2 linked regions of the Nothobranchius furzeri genome follow. The protein of the gene in region 2 interacts with the protein of the main gene of each other region in a pairwise test. Links are inferred from orthologs where the notes say so. Each region holds a gene or a part of one and is shown on either strand. Other genes may lie near its edges. The genes, in order: arrdc3a and bag3.

The links.
Region 1: the proteins of bag3 (region 2) and arrdc3a interact in binary tests that used the Homo sapiens proteins (3 or more experiments, as listed by UniProt). The two-hybrid records come from large-scale screens. The link is inferred for Nothobranchius furzeri from reciprocal best matches to the Homo sapiens genes BAG3 and ARRDC3.

Annotation. Positions count from the first base shown.
Region 1 is NC_091757.1:41,571,067-41,575,423, forward strand, and holds the start of arrdc3a (arrestin domain-containing protein 3a), read right to left. Parts: upstream 2,994-4,357; 5' UTR 2,783-2,993; coding exon 2,503-2,782; intron 1,147-2,502; exon of another isoform or gene 1,119-1,146; coding exon of another isoform or gene 1,076-1,118; coding exon 994-1,075; intron 892-993; coding exon 744-891; intron 652-743; coding exon 549-651; intron 381-548; coding exon 124-380; intron 1-123. UniProt on the Homo sapiens protein: Adapter protein that plays a role in regulating cell-surface expression of adrenergic receptors and probably also other G protein-coupled receptors.
Region 2 is NC_091752.1:5,536,424-5,539,942, forward strand, and holds the end of bag3 (BAG family molecular chaperone regulator 3), read right to left. Parts: coding exon 3,272-3,519; intron 1,599-3,271; coding exon 906-1,598; 3' UTR 660-905; downstream 1-659. UniProt on the Homo sapiens protein: Co-chaperone and adapter protein that connects different classes of molecular chaperones including heat shock proteins 70 (HSP70s), e.g. HSPA1A/HSP70 or HSPA8/HSC70, and small heat shock proteins (sHSPs), e.g. HSPB8.

The sequences.
Region 1 (4,357 bases), on a different chromosome or scaffold from region 2:
AATATTGATTCTGATGAAAGCAGAAACCCTTGTATGCCCGTCGTCTCAAAACAAATACAAACAACAAAAACGGGCACCTGACCTAAATGTTCATCGAGTGTGTGAGAGAAAGACCAAACTCACCATGAGGGAGTACTCCACTCTGATGATGCTGCAGTCCAGGATTGAGGGGGACACAGGTGGGATCTTCAGCATTTTGCCATTCCAGGTCTCCGTTTTGCCAGAGGACAAGGACTCCCCCCGCAGGTTGGCCACCAGTTGCTTGACCTCCTTCACCTTTCCTTTGGCATAGAAGGTCTGTGTCTGGTAGATGGCCGCCTTTGGCACCACCACGCGGGACGAGCAGTTCTCGATCTCGGCAAATATCTGGATAGACTCGCCTACACAAATATAAGACATAATGGAAGTTAATATTTTTCTCTAGTGATAGGAACCCTAATTATGAGTAATCAGTAACAAGTAGAGAATCCTGCAGAATGTGATCATCCCATTGGCTCATCTGGTAAACAGATGAGTAACAACCTTATCGTTTATTCACTTATCCTCACCTGGGGTGTATCCCTTCCTTTCAATTTTGGCACTTAGGGAAATTGGACCTGAGGTGCAGAACCAACAGCAAAGCGTCTTGTCTGCTGTGCCGGCCTGAGGCGACTGAAAAAGTAGAGAAAAAACATCTTATAAACATTTTTTCTTAGTTTACAAACATAAAAGCTATGCATTTCATCATTCCTATGACTTCTTACCAGCAATAACGGAGTGTTGATGTCAATGTGCTCAAAGACTGTAAATTCCTTCTTAGTCTTCATGGGCAGGAGCCATGGCCTGTGGAGCTCTGCCTTCACCCAGTAGCGCACACTGCCATGTTTTCCTTCAAAAGAGGTAGCCAGAGGTCTGCAGGTGACGGTAAAAGAAGGGCAGAAAGGAGAAAAACGGTCAAGTTCTCAAATCTAAATAACTTTTTCTCTGATTCTAGTTTCGTATTGGGACACCTACGTCTGTGGAAGCTCGAGGCTGAATGCATACTCATGCCTTCCTGCATGGATTGTAGTGAGTCCTTCCTCCGAGTTGTCATCGTCTGAAAAACAAGGAGGACAATATTCCAAACACATGTATACCATACCTGGACAAAATGCTCTACGAAGGCATCTGTAAGTCATATCAAAGAACACAGGGTGGGGGAGACAAAAAGAGAATAAACGGGTTTTACAATTGATCTTGTCTGTTAGAAATTAAGTGTATTGAGATTTTAAAAAACAGCAGAGTAAAATTTGGAGAAATCAGAAACTGAACGTGAGTGATGCTAATGCACAAGTAATTTTATGGGGCAAAGCGAAGCGATGCCTTCTCACTTATTTTGGGGGGGGAATTATGAATTTTTTATTTAATATTGCTCATTTTACATGAAAAGGTAAATATGTGGCGGATAAGGACGTGTGCGCAGCCCTTGCCAGCTCAGCACACCCTCCCCCTAGCAGAAGCCGTGTGGTAAACAAGTGCGGAGCTGTCAGTCAAGAGACAGACTCCAGCAGGAGAAGACCGGACTAAACCGGTGTGAGCAGCTTCCCTCGGCATTACGTATTCACTCCGCGACGCCGCAGTCACAACAACCACATACATAAATGCGTCTGACAAGCTCTGTGGTCCCGTAAGACTAAAGGAGCTGCTACCCACTTATTTAAACACGTGTTCCCAACGCTAATAAATATTAAATCGTTCAGCGACAATATCACCACGTCTCGGACATGTTAGCTTAACATAATCCATGCTAACAGACCTAACCGAATACATGCAAATAAAAGCTTTACTGCATTCACTGGTATAAGAAAAAAAAAACTCTTGATTTTAATTAAAAATTAAGAGCAAAGAAATCTCAAATGTCCAGCACATCCTGGTTGCAACTCACAATTCCTTAAAATTTACAGTAAAACCACCAATTTTCGTGTCCTGCAGGTGTTTTACATTGATTAAAAAGTTGCAGTTTTTTCTGCCACTCTGCAGGGGAATGATGTCATTGGCCACACACTAGCATCTTAACCAATCACACACGAGCCAGGGTGCGCTCTGGCTTTCCCCCCGCCCCCTCGCAAACCAGTTTTCGGAACAGGATTGAACCGCTTTGAACAATAGGTGGAAACTTCATCGTTGTTTAGCGATGAAATTTCTAAACAAAGCTTCATAGCTATAAAATACAGAATCAACTCAATTCCAATATGTATTTAAATGAGATAAATCCTCCCTATGCGCCTCAAATGCCATGAAAAACACAAGATACGTGAGCAGCTGTCATTCATTCTGACCACAAAAACAAGCAACGATGGAGATTTTAAAAGACAACTAAATACCCACCGAACATCTCGTCTGAAATAAGGCAATAAAGTGACAGGTCTTTATTTAGTCTTTAATCGAACCAATTATCCTGTTATTGAGCCCTGCAACTCTATATCTTTCAGCGAACCTGATCCCCAACCAGGGGAGCATCACAATTTCTACAAAACTTCTTACCTCTTTCATGTCCAATTAAAATATCTTTGTAGTTCAGGTATTCCACTTCTTCTGTGTAGTTCTGGGTGTAGGCAGTGTTGGATCCAGCGTTTCTTGACTCAGTCCAACGAACTTTTGCTATTCCTTTTGCGTGGATTTTGAGAGATTTCACCCGGATTTCTCCGGTGACTTCGACGATCACCCTCCCTGAGACGGAGTCCCCGCTGGAGAAGACGGGGACGTTGCTGTCATTAAAACAGTCGTAGCTCACTATGAAGCTCTTTACCTTTCCTAGCACCATGGCGGAAAGAGATCTTCTCGAGCTCTAAAAAAAGGAGTTAATGAAAAAATAATCTCATAAGAAAAACGGGGTTGGAGACACTGATCAGTATCTCTGCCCTGCAAGAAGCAGCGGGCACGATCAGTGGCTTCTTTGTGAGCAGTTCATTGAGCTTTGTGAAGGCTGATAACCAGCAATGGATGCTGTTATCATCTGCCTGTCTCCTTGATGGTCTCAGTCACAGACAAGGAAACCCCCGGAGCTCAGCTCACTTTAAACCAGAAGCTGTGTGAAAAACAACCTTCTGCGCCTGCGCGTGGCTGCACAGCCCCCACCTTCTCGCCTTCTGGAACAAGGCAGGCAGAGCAGTGTGAGGCAAAGCTCACATTCATCCAGCCGCCCTGCAAGTATGGTAAAAGCACCTGAAACACCGCATAAAGAAATATTTGCAATAGTCCTGGGTGAGGCTTTTGGGGCGAATTGTAACATTAAAAATATCAATTATCAATATAATAATAAGATTTAGTCCAGTCTGTACATAGTCCACCTCAATATTTGAGTAAGTATTTTTTAAAATCACACAAAACGTGTGAATTTTGTTTTTATTTTGGAGCCACAGCCTGCAGGCTTATTGTGAACACTTTACACAACGCTTTTACATAATCAGAGCAATGTCATTGTAAAATCCAAAGAGCTGCATTTTGCATGATGCACACGGCATAGGGCTGTTCAGAGTAGATGTATAGAACATGCATATTAATTATAAAACTAAAAACAGATCATCTGTGGTTGTAACTCATATACCTGACCCATTTTGATTGTTATTTAACTGATTCTGATCCGTGTATGTTGAGAAGACTCTTTCTCATTGTGTTGAGCTCCCAGTTTTCAGAAAAACAACTCGTGACTCAAAACGCCACCTAGTGGCAACCAATGTTCCCACTATGGGCTGCAGCAGAATCACCTGTTGATCTGCAACAATACCAATGTTCTTTACTTTTAATCAGCCAGTATGGGGATGCTGCCCGAAAGGTAATCAGGCATTATTGTCCTGACGGGGATTTTTTATTTTATAATTTAGTATTAACAAATGCCATTTACCTCCAATTAAATCCAATAAACTTCATAGATTCCCTGACACACCATATGTAATGCCATTTAGTGCATTCATTAATGTTTTTTTCCCATATTACATAAAACACATCTGGAAAGCTGTTTACTTTATCTATACAAAGGACACATTGACATGCACCTTAAACGTTAGGATGTCAATAGATACAGGTGGGATGACTGCAGTGCCAGCTCAGCAAAATATTAAAAAAATAAATAAAAAAACAAACGTTTAATGCCTAGTTGCATGCTGCCCTCTAGTGTCCACTTTGCCGCTGAATTAAAAAGATGGGACACTCTTCTAGCAATGTTTATAATTTATTAATTCGTGGTACTATACTTTTATGCATGAATTGGTTAATGAACGATGGATTTTGTTTGAGTTTTATTTTATTTCAGTTCCTTCTAAATATCAGTTTCATTCTTTGTCCCCATGGACACGAAACAACCCCCCCACCCCCCCTTTTTTTATAGTATACTTTTATT
Region 2 (3,519 bases):
TTGTTTTCTAAAAACCTGAAACTGTGGTGTCTGAGCAAGGGCGCGATCGCAGGGGTTTTAAAGCTTTGAGGCCGTTATTGTGGGACTAAAGATTGTGGCTTTGGTAGTTGTACAAGGACATTCTGACAGTCTTAAACAGGACTCCAGCTTAGCAGCAGGTGCCGATTGTCTCGCATCGAGTAGCTGTGCATCTCACCCCGCTTGTCCACACACACATAAATGTACCAAAATACTCAGTGATATAAATAGTGATATCATAATTTGCAAGTAGACTGATTCACATACAAACACTCAAAAACAAAACGTGTCTAAGTGACGTGGTTCAAAACGACGTGCTGCCGATTATCAGCAGGATCTATTTTCTGTTATGGCAAAGTGCAAAAACGGCTGAATCAGCAATGCACCCAAAAGCAGCATCTGGTAAACTAGTTCCACTCTTTAAAAAAGCTTTTCTCTTCATTTTAGACAAAGCGGTTCCAACTCTGAAGAACATCTTCGTCTGTTGACGGGTTTAAAGTCCCACCGCTTCTACTCGTGTACCAAGTGACGTTCTGCTGACTGAAAAAGAAAAGCTCCGAACAACATTTAATCAGACAAAAGACGACCACAAATAAGAGCTCTTAGGAAAATACTTTTGTTTGTCTTCCGTCTGTTTGGTAAAGGCCTCGTTTTTTTTTAAACTTCAGCTCACTTAGTGCTTGTTGTCAACATCTCACTGACGATGATCTTTTTGTGAAGACATTGGCGCAACATAGAAGGCAACAACGATGGCTTGAACAACACGAATCCACTGAGCGATCGGTAATTGTGTGCTGAACTGACACCTTTAATCAATGCATGCAACTTGCTCAGATACACAGCACATGATCCATTTCTCCTGGTACATTAGAAAATCGGTGCAGTCACTAGGATATCTCCTTCGCCGTCTCAACATTCTTATGAGTGATCATGCCGGCCTCTCCTTTCTGAGTCAGGCCGTGTCCCTCCACGTCACTGGCGGGTCCCATGGGCTGCTCCTCCAGTTGCTCCAGTTCTTCCAGTATGTTCTGCACTCGTCGGACTCCATCCCGTCTTGCTTGCCGTACGTCTGCACGGCCCTCGGGGTCAACAGAGTCAAGAGCTAGGAGCTCTTTGGTCAGAAGCTCCTCTAATAACAAATACTTCTTATCGTTCTTCTTTCCGCTAAAACTTTTCACCTCCTGCTCCAGTTTAGCCACCCTTTCAACGATCTGCTGCACCTTAGCCAAGCCTGGGTGGACAGCACACTGGCCGGCATGTTCAGCCTCTGCCTGAACAGGCGGCACCTCTGGGGGTGTGGTCATCCCGTCCTGGGACTCCGGTTTTGGAGGTATTTGAACTGTAATGTCCGCCACGTGATGTTGAGGAAACTCCGGCTTTTGGTGCTTCTGTTGCTGCGACTGTTCTTGCTGTGGAGGCGGAGTCTGAGGCGGTGCCTGCTGGAACGGCTGAGGCTTTTGGATGTCGGCCTTGGTGTGTAGCATTTGAGGAGATGACGTGTTCTCAGGTTTCTGCTGCGTGCTTTGTTGCTCCTGCTCCATTTTCTGCGGCGGGTCTTTTGAGAGCACACGCTGTGGAGCCTTAAAAGCAAAAACAAAACTACGTTTTTGTGATCCATGTGTAACTTATGGGGGATATTAGGGCAACTCGGAAGGAAAAAAAAAGCTTTTGAGAAACAGAAAGAGTTTTACTGCTTTCTAGTTTAGAGATTAAAGGGGTCCTAGAATTCAGAACCGCTGTTTCCTTGTTGTTGAATACAGGCAGCTTGGGGAGTCTGCTTTGCAATGCAAATTAGTAATGTTGTAATGGTCATGGAGTGCGTTTACATGCAGCCAGTAACCCTTTTAAAACCCAAACATTCACAAGTTCCGCAGGTCCATGTAAACACCGCCAGAAACCCGGATATGCTCATAACCGGGTTTTTAAAAACCCGGTTACTACACCTGGGGTAACCCTTTTCTAACCCGAATGTTTGGTCGTGTAAACGCATATCGGGATATCCCCATCAAAGCGTGTGTTCTGCACATGCTCTGTTAGCAAGGAATCTTGGTCTTTTGAGTAGCGAGACGTCTTGTATGCGCCAGAACACCGGAAGTAAACAACAAGTTGGGAGCAACATGGCGAGTCGCGGCACAGCACCACACTTTTGGAGTGACGAGGAAACTAAAGCGCAAACAAGCGCGGTCGCTATCTCTTCCGAACTGGGAAACATGTTGTTGTTTTCACGGATACCGGAACAAGAAGAACCGGAAATGACGCACACTGCGTCTGGACGTAGTCCATACGTCCTGACGCTACCCCAACGTCCGCATTTAAATCGGGTTATGCAAGTTAGAGGTATCTCTTTTTATTTATGCTTGTAAACGGGTTATTCTGATCAACTCAGAAACCCGAATCCCGACCTTAACCCGATCATAACCCGGATATTGGCTGCATGTAAACGTAGTCATGGAGAAACTTGTTTTTCTGAGAAAAGTTGGTTTAACACCTCTTAAATCAGCGTCTCCTAACCCAGTTCCATGTCAGCAGTAAATACATGGTGGTGGTGGTAATGCTAACCGTAGAACAATGCTAGCCTGACCTACTGCTGATTTCCTTATTGGATGAGAGGAAAACAACAATGAAAAATGTCAGAGCAGGCATCTAACACTCCAGGATGTTCTGGGCATATCCAGACTTTGGATGAATGCCCGATAGATCCGTAGCTTGCCTATTGAGTTACCCGGATTATGCAGCGTCATAGAGCCATCAGGCTAAACAGGCCAATCAGCATGCAGCTCATTGAATATTCATCTCCTGGCTGAGTGGGTGGAGCAAACCAATCTTACCATTGTAAGGCTTTATTCTGAAATGTGTCAGTTTATCAGGGCTCCTGTGTCATTTTGAGCCCCAACAAAGTTCCATATGTTATGCAGACACTCAAAGATAGTTCTCGAAGAGTTGTTCTAGAACCTCTCCCTTTAACTTCAAAACGTTGATGAAAAAAACTGTAACTGTAAATATTACTTCCGGAAAAGGTAAAAAATGTTTGCAGTGAAAAAGTCAAAAGAGGAAATAGTGATGGAAAAAGGTCAAATGTTTTCCGAATTCATGTCCTGATCAAAGTAAAAAGTCTAAACTAAACTCAACTGTCGTAAATGCAAAGACTATATAAATAAAGATGAACATTGCCTATGATAATACTTCTGAGTGGCCTCATGTATGTTCTAATTCAGTTAGAGAAACAAGAGGCAAGCGGAAACATTAAACGTACCGGTGGTCTTTCTCCCATCACTTGCGTTTTAATAGGAGAGTGACTTCTGACGTGAGGTGGGAGGTGAACAGAGGCAGAGTCGCGATGGGGGGTGAATATTGTTGGAGAAGCCCTCTCCCTGGGGGGCTGCATAGCAGCAGAGAAGCCGGGCCAGTCTTCTGTCTGGTGACGGTGGTCCGAGAAGGGAATGCGCTGAGAATAGACCGAGGAGTTTAACTGAGGCTGCGTTTGGCCCCCCCCACCCTCGT